2 linked regions of the Rattus norvegicus genome follow. The protein of the gene in region 1 purifies or fractionates together with the protein of each later gene. This does not show direct contact. Links are inferred from orthologs where the notes say so. Each region holds a gene or a part of one and is shown on either strand. Other genes may lie near its edges.

Evidence for each region.
Region 2: the proteins of Pex1 (region 1) and Pex26 purify together in Homo sapiens (affinity purification with western blotting; 3 studies listed by BioGRID and IntAct, with this or other methods). This does not show direct contact. The link is inferred for Rattus norvegicus from reciprocal best matches to the Homo sapiens genes PEX1 and PEX26.

The regions. Positions count from the first base shown.
Region 1 is NC_086022.1:31,506,951-31,510,765, reverse strand, and holds part of Pex1 (peroxisomal ATPase PEX1), read left to right. Parts: intron 1-2,817; exon of another isoform or gene 2,818-2,893; coding exon 2,894-3,037; intron 3,038-3,815. UniProt on the Homo sapiens protein: Component of the PEX1-PEX6 AAA ATPase complex, a protein dislocase complex that mediates the ATP-dependent extraction of the PEX5 receptor from peroxisomal membranes, an essential step for PEX5 recycling.
Region 2 is NC_086022.1:156,093,270-156,097,084, forward strand, and holds part of Pex26 (peroxisome assembly protein 26), read left to right. Parts: intron 1-243; coding exon 244-390; intron 391-3,255; coding exon 3,256-3,359; 3' UTR 3,360-3,815. UniProt on the Homo sapiens protein: Peroxisomal docking factor that anchors PEX1 and PEX6 to peroxisome membranes. PEX26 is therefore required for the formation of the PEX1-PEX6 AAA ATPase complex, a complex that mediates the extraction of the PEX5 receptor from peroxisomal membrane.

The sequences.
Region 1 (3,815 bases):
CCATTCGCTTCTGCCTCCTGAGCATCGGGATTAACGGTATGAGCCACCATGCCTGATCTGTAAGTGGTTGATCTATTCAACCACTCTCTGTATATTTTAAGCTCAGCATTTGCTGTGATTGCAACAGAGAAAGGATTCCTCTGGACACTGGGGTAGGGGGAATCTACACCTCACCCAGAAATTTCCTTGTACAGACTTCTTGTTTGTTTTCTCCTGTTAGTAAGAGACAGTCCAGGCCTTTGACTGAGGCACTCCTGAGGCATGTGCATGTATAGATTCACCTGATTGTTTCTTTCGAGATGATGGCCACAGTATAGGCCAAAGTAAACCAACAGTGCACTTCTTGATTACATTCCTGAAGGGGGCTCTGTTCTATTACTTCTGTCTGACTGAAGGCTTCTGTGGTTCTAATGAAATCCAATGTACAAATCAGCTTAGAACATTAGTTTGCCAAACCTCACTGAGTGCTGCTCATGACTACATTTTGACCAAACGCAAATGACTGAAATGTTTTTCTTGTCTGATAAAGTTGATTTTTTTTCTTTTGTTTTTCCTAGTGGGCTAGTAGATAGATATTTTAGACATTTCAGGATGTCCGTTATATTTCTTTCTTTAATGTCTCTGGTTTTAAAGCTTTCTTACAAAATAGGGGGCACTGAGTTGTAATATCAGCAACTTATGAAACCACCTTAAAAGTGCCTGAGGCTCTGTTACATTTGCCCTTGTAACCTAGACAGTGACCCGGGACTTCTACTTGCTTTTACTTTATTAAACGGTGCTTAGTTGAAAAAGCTTTGCCAGCAAAAACAATTGCGTCATTGCTTGGAAATTGTGAGAAAAATTATGCAGCTAAAGGACAAACCGTGACTTTTGTTTTTTGTTCTTTCAAGACAAGCCTTCTCTGTGTAGCCTGGGCTGTCCTGGCTGGCATTTACCAGGTAGACCAGGCTGGCCTTGAACTCAGGAATCTGCCCGCCTGTGCTGGGATTAAAGGCTAACAGTGATTTTCTTATGTACAGAAGTTTACTAATGAGTGTGTTTGAGAACCATGTTGCCTAAGACTTCTGTATTCTTTGTAATTTGTTCTGTTTAAACAAACGTAGAGTGCTGAAGTTCGATATAAATGAGAGAGTTTGGCTTCACTGTTTTGAGGTTAATGAATTTATTTTGAAATGAATTTAATAACACTTAAGCTTCCCGAGACAAGAAGTCTTCAGGACTGTTTATCAAGGTGCTTGCTGTGTTTTACTAAGAAACGGTAGATGTGTAAAATGCTTGTAGTGTCATAGTAAACGGGTAAAACATATTACAGCTCATCCATAACATAAATACACGATTCACTGACTGGAAAGGGTTGGCAAGAAGTATACAAACTGTTCATATGATTGTGTTTCCCTCCAAGTGCACATATTCCCCAAGATTCCTGTGAGTATAATTGTTTTGGTTTTGTTTTTTCGAGACAGGATATCACTATGTAATCCAAACTTAACCTTAAATCACAATTCTCCTGCCTCAGCCTCCCAAGTGCTAGGATCACAGACATGAAAAACCATCCCTGCCAGTACAGTTCTTTAACTGTAGAGGACTTTGGTCATCTAACTCTCAGCACAAATGGACATATTATGTTTTTGTAATGTTTTTTAATTTTAAGGATTTATTTATTTATTTATTTATTTATTTATTTATTTATTTATTGGTTCTTTTTTTCGGAGCTGGGGACCGAACCCAGGGCCTTGCACTTCCTAGGCAAGTGCTTTACCACTGAGCTAAATCCCCAACCCCAGGATTTATTTTTAATTATGTGTCTGTGATGGTACTTGTGGAGGCCAGAGGACACCAGAGCTGGCTCTCTATACTGACTGCTCTTAATCACAGCGCCATGTCCCTGACCCCTGATTAAACTATGTTTCTAAAGTTTTACGACCTTTATCTGCTTATTCATTTGTTTTGTTTTTGAGACAGGGTCTCACGGTGTAGCCTTGACTGGCATGGAGCTCACTCTGCAGACTAGGCTGGCACTGAACTCTTAGACACTAGCCTGCTTCTATTGCCTAAGTGCTGGGATTAAAGGCATGTGCCACCAGGCCCAGCCAGTTTTATGAACTTTAAAAAGCATTAAGAAACTGCATATTAGGGGGTTGGGGATTTAGCTCAGTGGTAGAGCGCTTGCCTAGGAAGCTCAAGGCCCTGGGTTCGGTCCCCAGCTCCGAAAAAAAGAACCAAAAAAAAAAAAAAAAAAGAGCCAATAAAAAAAAAGTCAAAAGTTGTTCTCTCAGGCTGACCTTCATTCTAAAAAAAAAAAAGAAACTGCATATTATAATATTTCAGGAAGTTGTTAACAGTAATTTCTTCTAGGAACATGGGCCCACCTTTACATTTCCTTTTTAAAATTTTGTACTTTTACTATGTGTATTTATTACTTTTTAAATAAATCTATTGATCAGTAAGAGATGAGATACCCCAGCAGATTGGAGTTTCAAAAGTCTGAACTGTGTTGTTTTATACTTTTAAATTTTAATTGAAGGCTAATGAATTTATACTTTATTAAAACTAGAAGCATTTTCCTGAATGTGTGTAATTTTTTTTCTTCTCATAAGCATACTGAAAGCCTGTGTAAATTCATCCAAGTACCCATGGCATTTTGAATTACGAATCACTTGAATCAATCCATAAGGCTGTCGTAAGACTGTGAGCATGTTGGTTTTGTGGCTAGCTTCTCAACTACTGGATGTTTAAAACAATTCCTGTTTTTTAAATTAGAATGTGAATAAAGAACGATTACCTCTAGCACTGTTTTTGTTTTGTGTATTATAACAGGTGCTTATCTGAATCCAGAGGGAAAAAACCATAAAAGTTATAAACTCCCTTTCTCTCCCATTGTTTGGATAAATAGAATCAAGCTATAGAAGTAACCGGGGATCACCAGCCTACCTACTTGAGCTGGGTGGAAGGCAGGCATTTTAATGATCAAAGTGAAAATGTGGCAGAAATTAATAGACAAGTTGGCCAGAAGCTTGGACTCTCGAGCGGGGATCAGGTAAGTACAAGTGGCCGCAGTCACTTTTTTTTAATGTCACATCCTAAGGTTCAGGCATTTTGAAGGTGAGGTCATTTGTATGCTTTCATAACCAGGACAAGACACTCAAGCTAGCTATATTTTGTTAAGTCACTGTCTCATCTCTAACATGCCTCCAACTCAACTTTGTATTCTAGTTGTTAATTTTCCAGTCAATTTTTTGTGAAATTATTTTTCCTTTTGAGTATTGGGTTTCCTCCTTACTTTAGAACTTCATTTTAGTTCTTGTCATAGTTTGATTATTTATTATGTGTGTATGTGTATGTGGTGGAATGGGGGCCGGGGAGTACTGGGGCCAGGAGGAGGTCAGAAATCATGCTTGGAGGTCGGAAGAGAACTTGCAGGAATCCAGTCTTTCTTTTTTATACCAGAGCTCCAGTGATTGGATTCAGGTTGTCTGTCAGGCTTGATAGCAAGGGCCTTTACCCACGAAGCCATCTCCCTGGCTCCATTTTATACACCTCCCTCCTCTCCCTCCCTCCTCTCCCTCCCTCCCTCCCTCCCTCCCTCCCTCCCTCTTTCCGGGAGTAAAAGATCGTGCCGGTCTTTTACTTATATTATGTTCATCAATTCATTAACTTTAAATATTCAATTTGAATATTCACTTAAAATTTGATTGAAAGTAAAAATTTCCTTTTCCCTTTCCTGAAATAGATGTTACTGTTTGTTGAGATCCAACCAGACCTTTAGGATAAAAAGAAAAGGCGCAAACATGTTTCCCATAATCTTTACTGCACAC
Region 2 (3,815 bases), about 120 Mb from region 1:
TGGCAGAATGCTTGCCAAGTGTCTACAAGATCATGGGATTCATCTCCATCCAAATCAAACCAAACTCCTATGCAAACCAAACCCCTATGCAAACGATGCCTCTTTTTATTTTTAAGCTTTTAGTATTTTCTTTTGAATTGCTTAATGAGTTGTGCAAGGAAGTCATTCTCATTTGGTTTGGATTGACTCTTCAGATCTGATTTGCCTGACTCACCCTGTGATGACGCTCTGTCCCCTGGCCAGGTTCATTTCCCCGTAAGTTGCTGTCACTGCTGATGCTGCTTCGCCGCCTTTGTGGCTCTGCGGTGAGCCACCTTCTCTCCCAGCCCTTTAGAAAGGGCCTCCTGGCTGCCTTGATCCTCTGTCTCTTGGTTCTACGGTTTGATCCAGGTGAGTGAAGGGGTGTGGCGGCAGGGTCTGTGAGAGCCTGGGAGGGCGCCACCTCCTGTGATATTGAGCCTGTCCCACAAAGAACTAGAGTCTACCTCACCTGGGGGGGAGACCAGGCCCAGATCCTAGGAGAGCAGTTGGAGAACATTTCCCTGCTGCTCTGCATGCCGATGGACTCACCTGGGCCCTGCTCCATCCAGGGGTGACTTCTGATCAGAATGCAATGCTAAGAAGCTTTCTCATAGTAAAACCTAAATTAGTTAAGGTCTCCTGGCTCGTGTAATGACCCTGAAATCGTAAGTGAAAGTCTGACATATTTTAGACGATGTGGGGGAAAAAATGTGAAACAGCTAAATGATATTCTGGTTTATAGACTTTTCCCCTGATTGATATGTGTCAGTCCTTTGGGTGATTAATCTCTTCTGCCTCACTGTGGAGTAGAGGTGAGACTCGGGAAAACACCTGTGTAGTGGACACTCAGATATGGGACTCTGGGCCACAGTTAGGTGACTGACTGCCGTTCGAGAAACACAAAAACAAAAGACAAGTCTTACTGTATAGTGCAGAATGGTGTCGAACCTTCTGTCTCTGCCTCCCAGATGCTGGGGTTGCAGGCGTGCACCACCAAGCCAGACTTTCCGAGTCACTCTCTGTGGGTTGTGAAGCAGTCTGTACTTTCTCAAGAATTTAGATGTAGATAGGATTGTGCAACTTTCAAAACCAAGGAGAAATGAGAAGCCTTTAATTTTCTTTCATTGTTGGTTGAGAAATCTAATAACCAGAGTGACTAGACCAGAGCCACACAGTTCGCCTGGTTTTAAACCTTTGACTTTAGGTCCCTGTTTTCCTCACCTCCCCTCTCACTTGTTGGACTCTGAGCAGGAATGTCCTCTCTGGACAGCTCTGTTGGTTATACAAGAAAGCCACCAGCAGCTTCCAGAAACAGGACAGAAATGAGGGGTGAGCAGAGACACCCCTACCGTGGGAAGCACATTCTCAGTGCTGGAAAAACACGTTTGAAAAGGGGAAGTTCAGTTCCTGTGATTTCCCATCTGTCCTTGACTCTCTACTTTGCATAGTTGATAAGAATTTAGTAGAAGTTCCTTATGACTTCCCCTAAACCCTGATCTCCTAAATGGTGACCAAGAAAACCATTCAAACTTGGGTGTGTACTGAGCAGCTCTCCTCAGGAGAGGAGGACCCACATGGGGGGTGGGTGGCGCTGCAAATAGAATTTGGGGAGAAGGTCAGTTACTTTAAAGAAAAATAACAGGTATGGAGGGCTGGGCATGCATGTGGCATACATACATGTAGGAAGGACTGGGTTGCATCTCCAGCCTTAGAGGAATAAACACCTTTCTTCCCACTGCTCCCACTATGCAAGCATGCGTGTGCGCATGTCTATATGTGTTTGTATGCGTTTGTGCATGTGTGTGTATGCATGTGCGCGCGTGTGTGCACTGTTGGCTACTCCACATGGTGATGATAAGGATGACAGTGGCCAGGGATTAAGTTGAGGCCCTCAGCCCTGAGGAGTGACTATTCTGTCACTGAGCTGCAGTCCCAGCCCTTCTGCTGTAGTTTTTGAGTCTCTTCACTTGCCTTGGGGTTGCAGGTATGTGCTACCCCATGCCTGGCTTTCAAGTGAGTATTTAGGATTCGAACTTAGGTCTTCACACTTTTTGGCAAGTACTTTACCGAGCCATCTCCTTAGCCCTAAACACTGCTCCCCCCACTTAGAGGAGCAGGTCTGTGTGTGTCTCATAGCCTTGCCCAGGCTGGCCTCCAGTGCCAGCTGAAGCCCCTGTCCTAGCTCTCTAAGGTGCTAGGGTGTTTAAGAGAGAAATATGTATTCCTTATTTTGGAGGCCAGGGATGAGCTCAGATACCACACTTGCCTGGTATGTACTAAGGCCTGGGTTCAGTTCCCAGCACCACAAAGAACTTGGTGTGGTGGCTCCCACCTGGAGTCCCAGCATTAAGAGGCGAAAGCAGAAGGCCCAACTCTGTCATCCTTGCCCAACCTGGCCAACCTCCCCAAATCAAACTAAAAGTAGAAATATGTATTTTTTAAGTCTGTAATCCAAACAAGGAAACGAAACAAATGGTAGTTTTTTGTTTTTTGTTTTTTGATTTTTTTTTTTAAATTTTCAATGTCGTTAATTCGTGGTAAAATACGTCAAACTGTCCTAAGGCTTCAAACTGAAAGGCACAGAAAGGCAAAAAGTGCAGTGAAATTTTTCCAAATGGCTCTCCCTAGTGGTAGACGTTGCTCCCATGGTTGTTAATTATTTCTTTCAGGAAGTGGAGTTGGGGCTTAACAGACATTTTTTAGACTTAAAAAATATGTATGAGGCTGCATATGTGGATGGGTACCACATGCATGCCTGGTTTTCTTGGAAGCCAGAAGTGTCAGATACCCTGGAACTGGTCGTGAGCCTCTAATGTGGGTGCTAGGAACTGCACCCAGGTCTTTGCAATAGCAGCAAGTGCTCTTAACTACGGAGCCATCGCTCCAGCCCCGAAGAAAAATTTTAACAGAGGCCTAAGCATGGAAAGTTAGGAAAGAGGCATTTGGAAGAAAGCAAGACACACCTGAGACACGCCCGACACCAGAAGCTCGGTGTAGGCTTCTGAGAGTCACCAGCGGTTGTGTAAATGCCAGAATGATTAAGATGTAATAAATCTGGATTTTTTTCTAGAATATTTAAAGTTATTGTAATTCAACTGGAAAAAAAATTTTCAGAGAAAGTGAAATTTCTTGTTGCCGAGGAGGCTGCGAATAGCAGGAAGCCTGGCTGTGTTTTCTAGCTGCCTCGGAGGGGCTGAGGGAAGAACACTCACGATAGTCTCTCCTTTCCCACAGCAGCTCCTTCTTCACTGCCCTTCCTCTACCAGCTGACCCAGCTCTTCCGCCGGATCCAGAAGGCCACGCTTTCTCGGCTCTACCCGCTCACCCTCCGGGACTGAGTGGTCCTACGTGGCTGCCTCTGCTTCTTACAGTCCCCATCTACAGAAGCGGAAAAGCCGAGCCCAGTGGCTGGGTCCCAGATGGCACCATGGCAGTGGGCCCATTCGTTCTAGGAGGAGGAGCCAAGGCGGGAGAGCCATGGCTTGCCTGTGAACCCGCCCTTCCGTATCCCATTGTGGCTGGCCTCAAAAGGAGTGTGTGAACAGTGGTGCCCGAGGCCAGCGCACAGAATTCTGCACAGCTCCTCAAAAAGAAGGGGTTTAGGAGCAGGGACTGGGTCTTGAGACATTGTGGTTTCTTGACAAAGGCAGAGGGTGACCTTCCAGATCGGGCGCTGGAGGAGCTGCGATTCACAAACGCGGTGGAGCGGCCCTTAGCCATTTACCTCTGAAACCCCTCCACAGCTCAGTACCTGAATTCAGTAAAACCGGAGTCCTCTCTTCCCCCACGCCCCT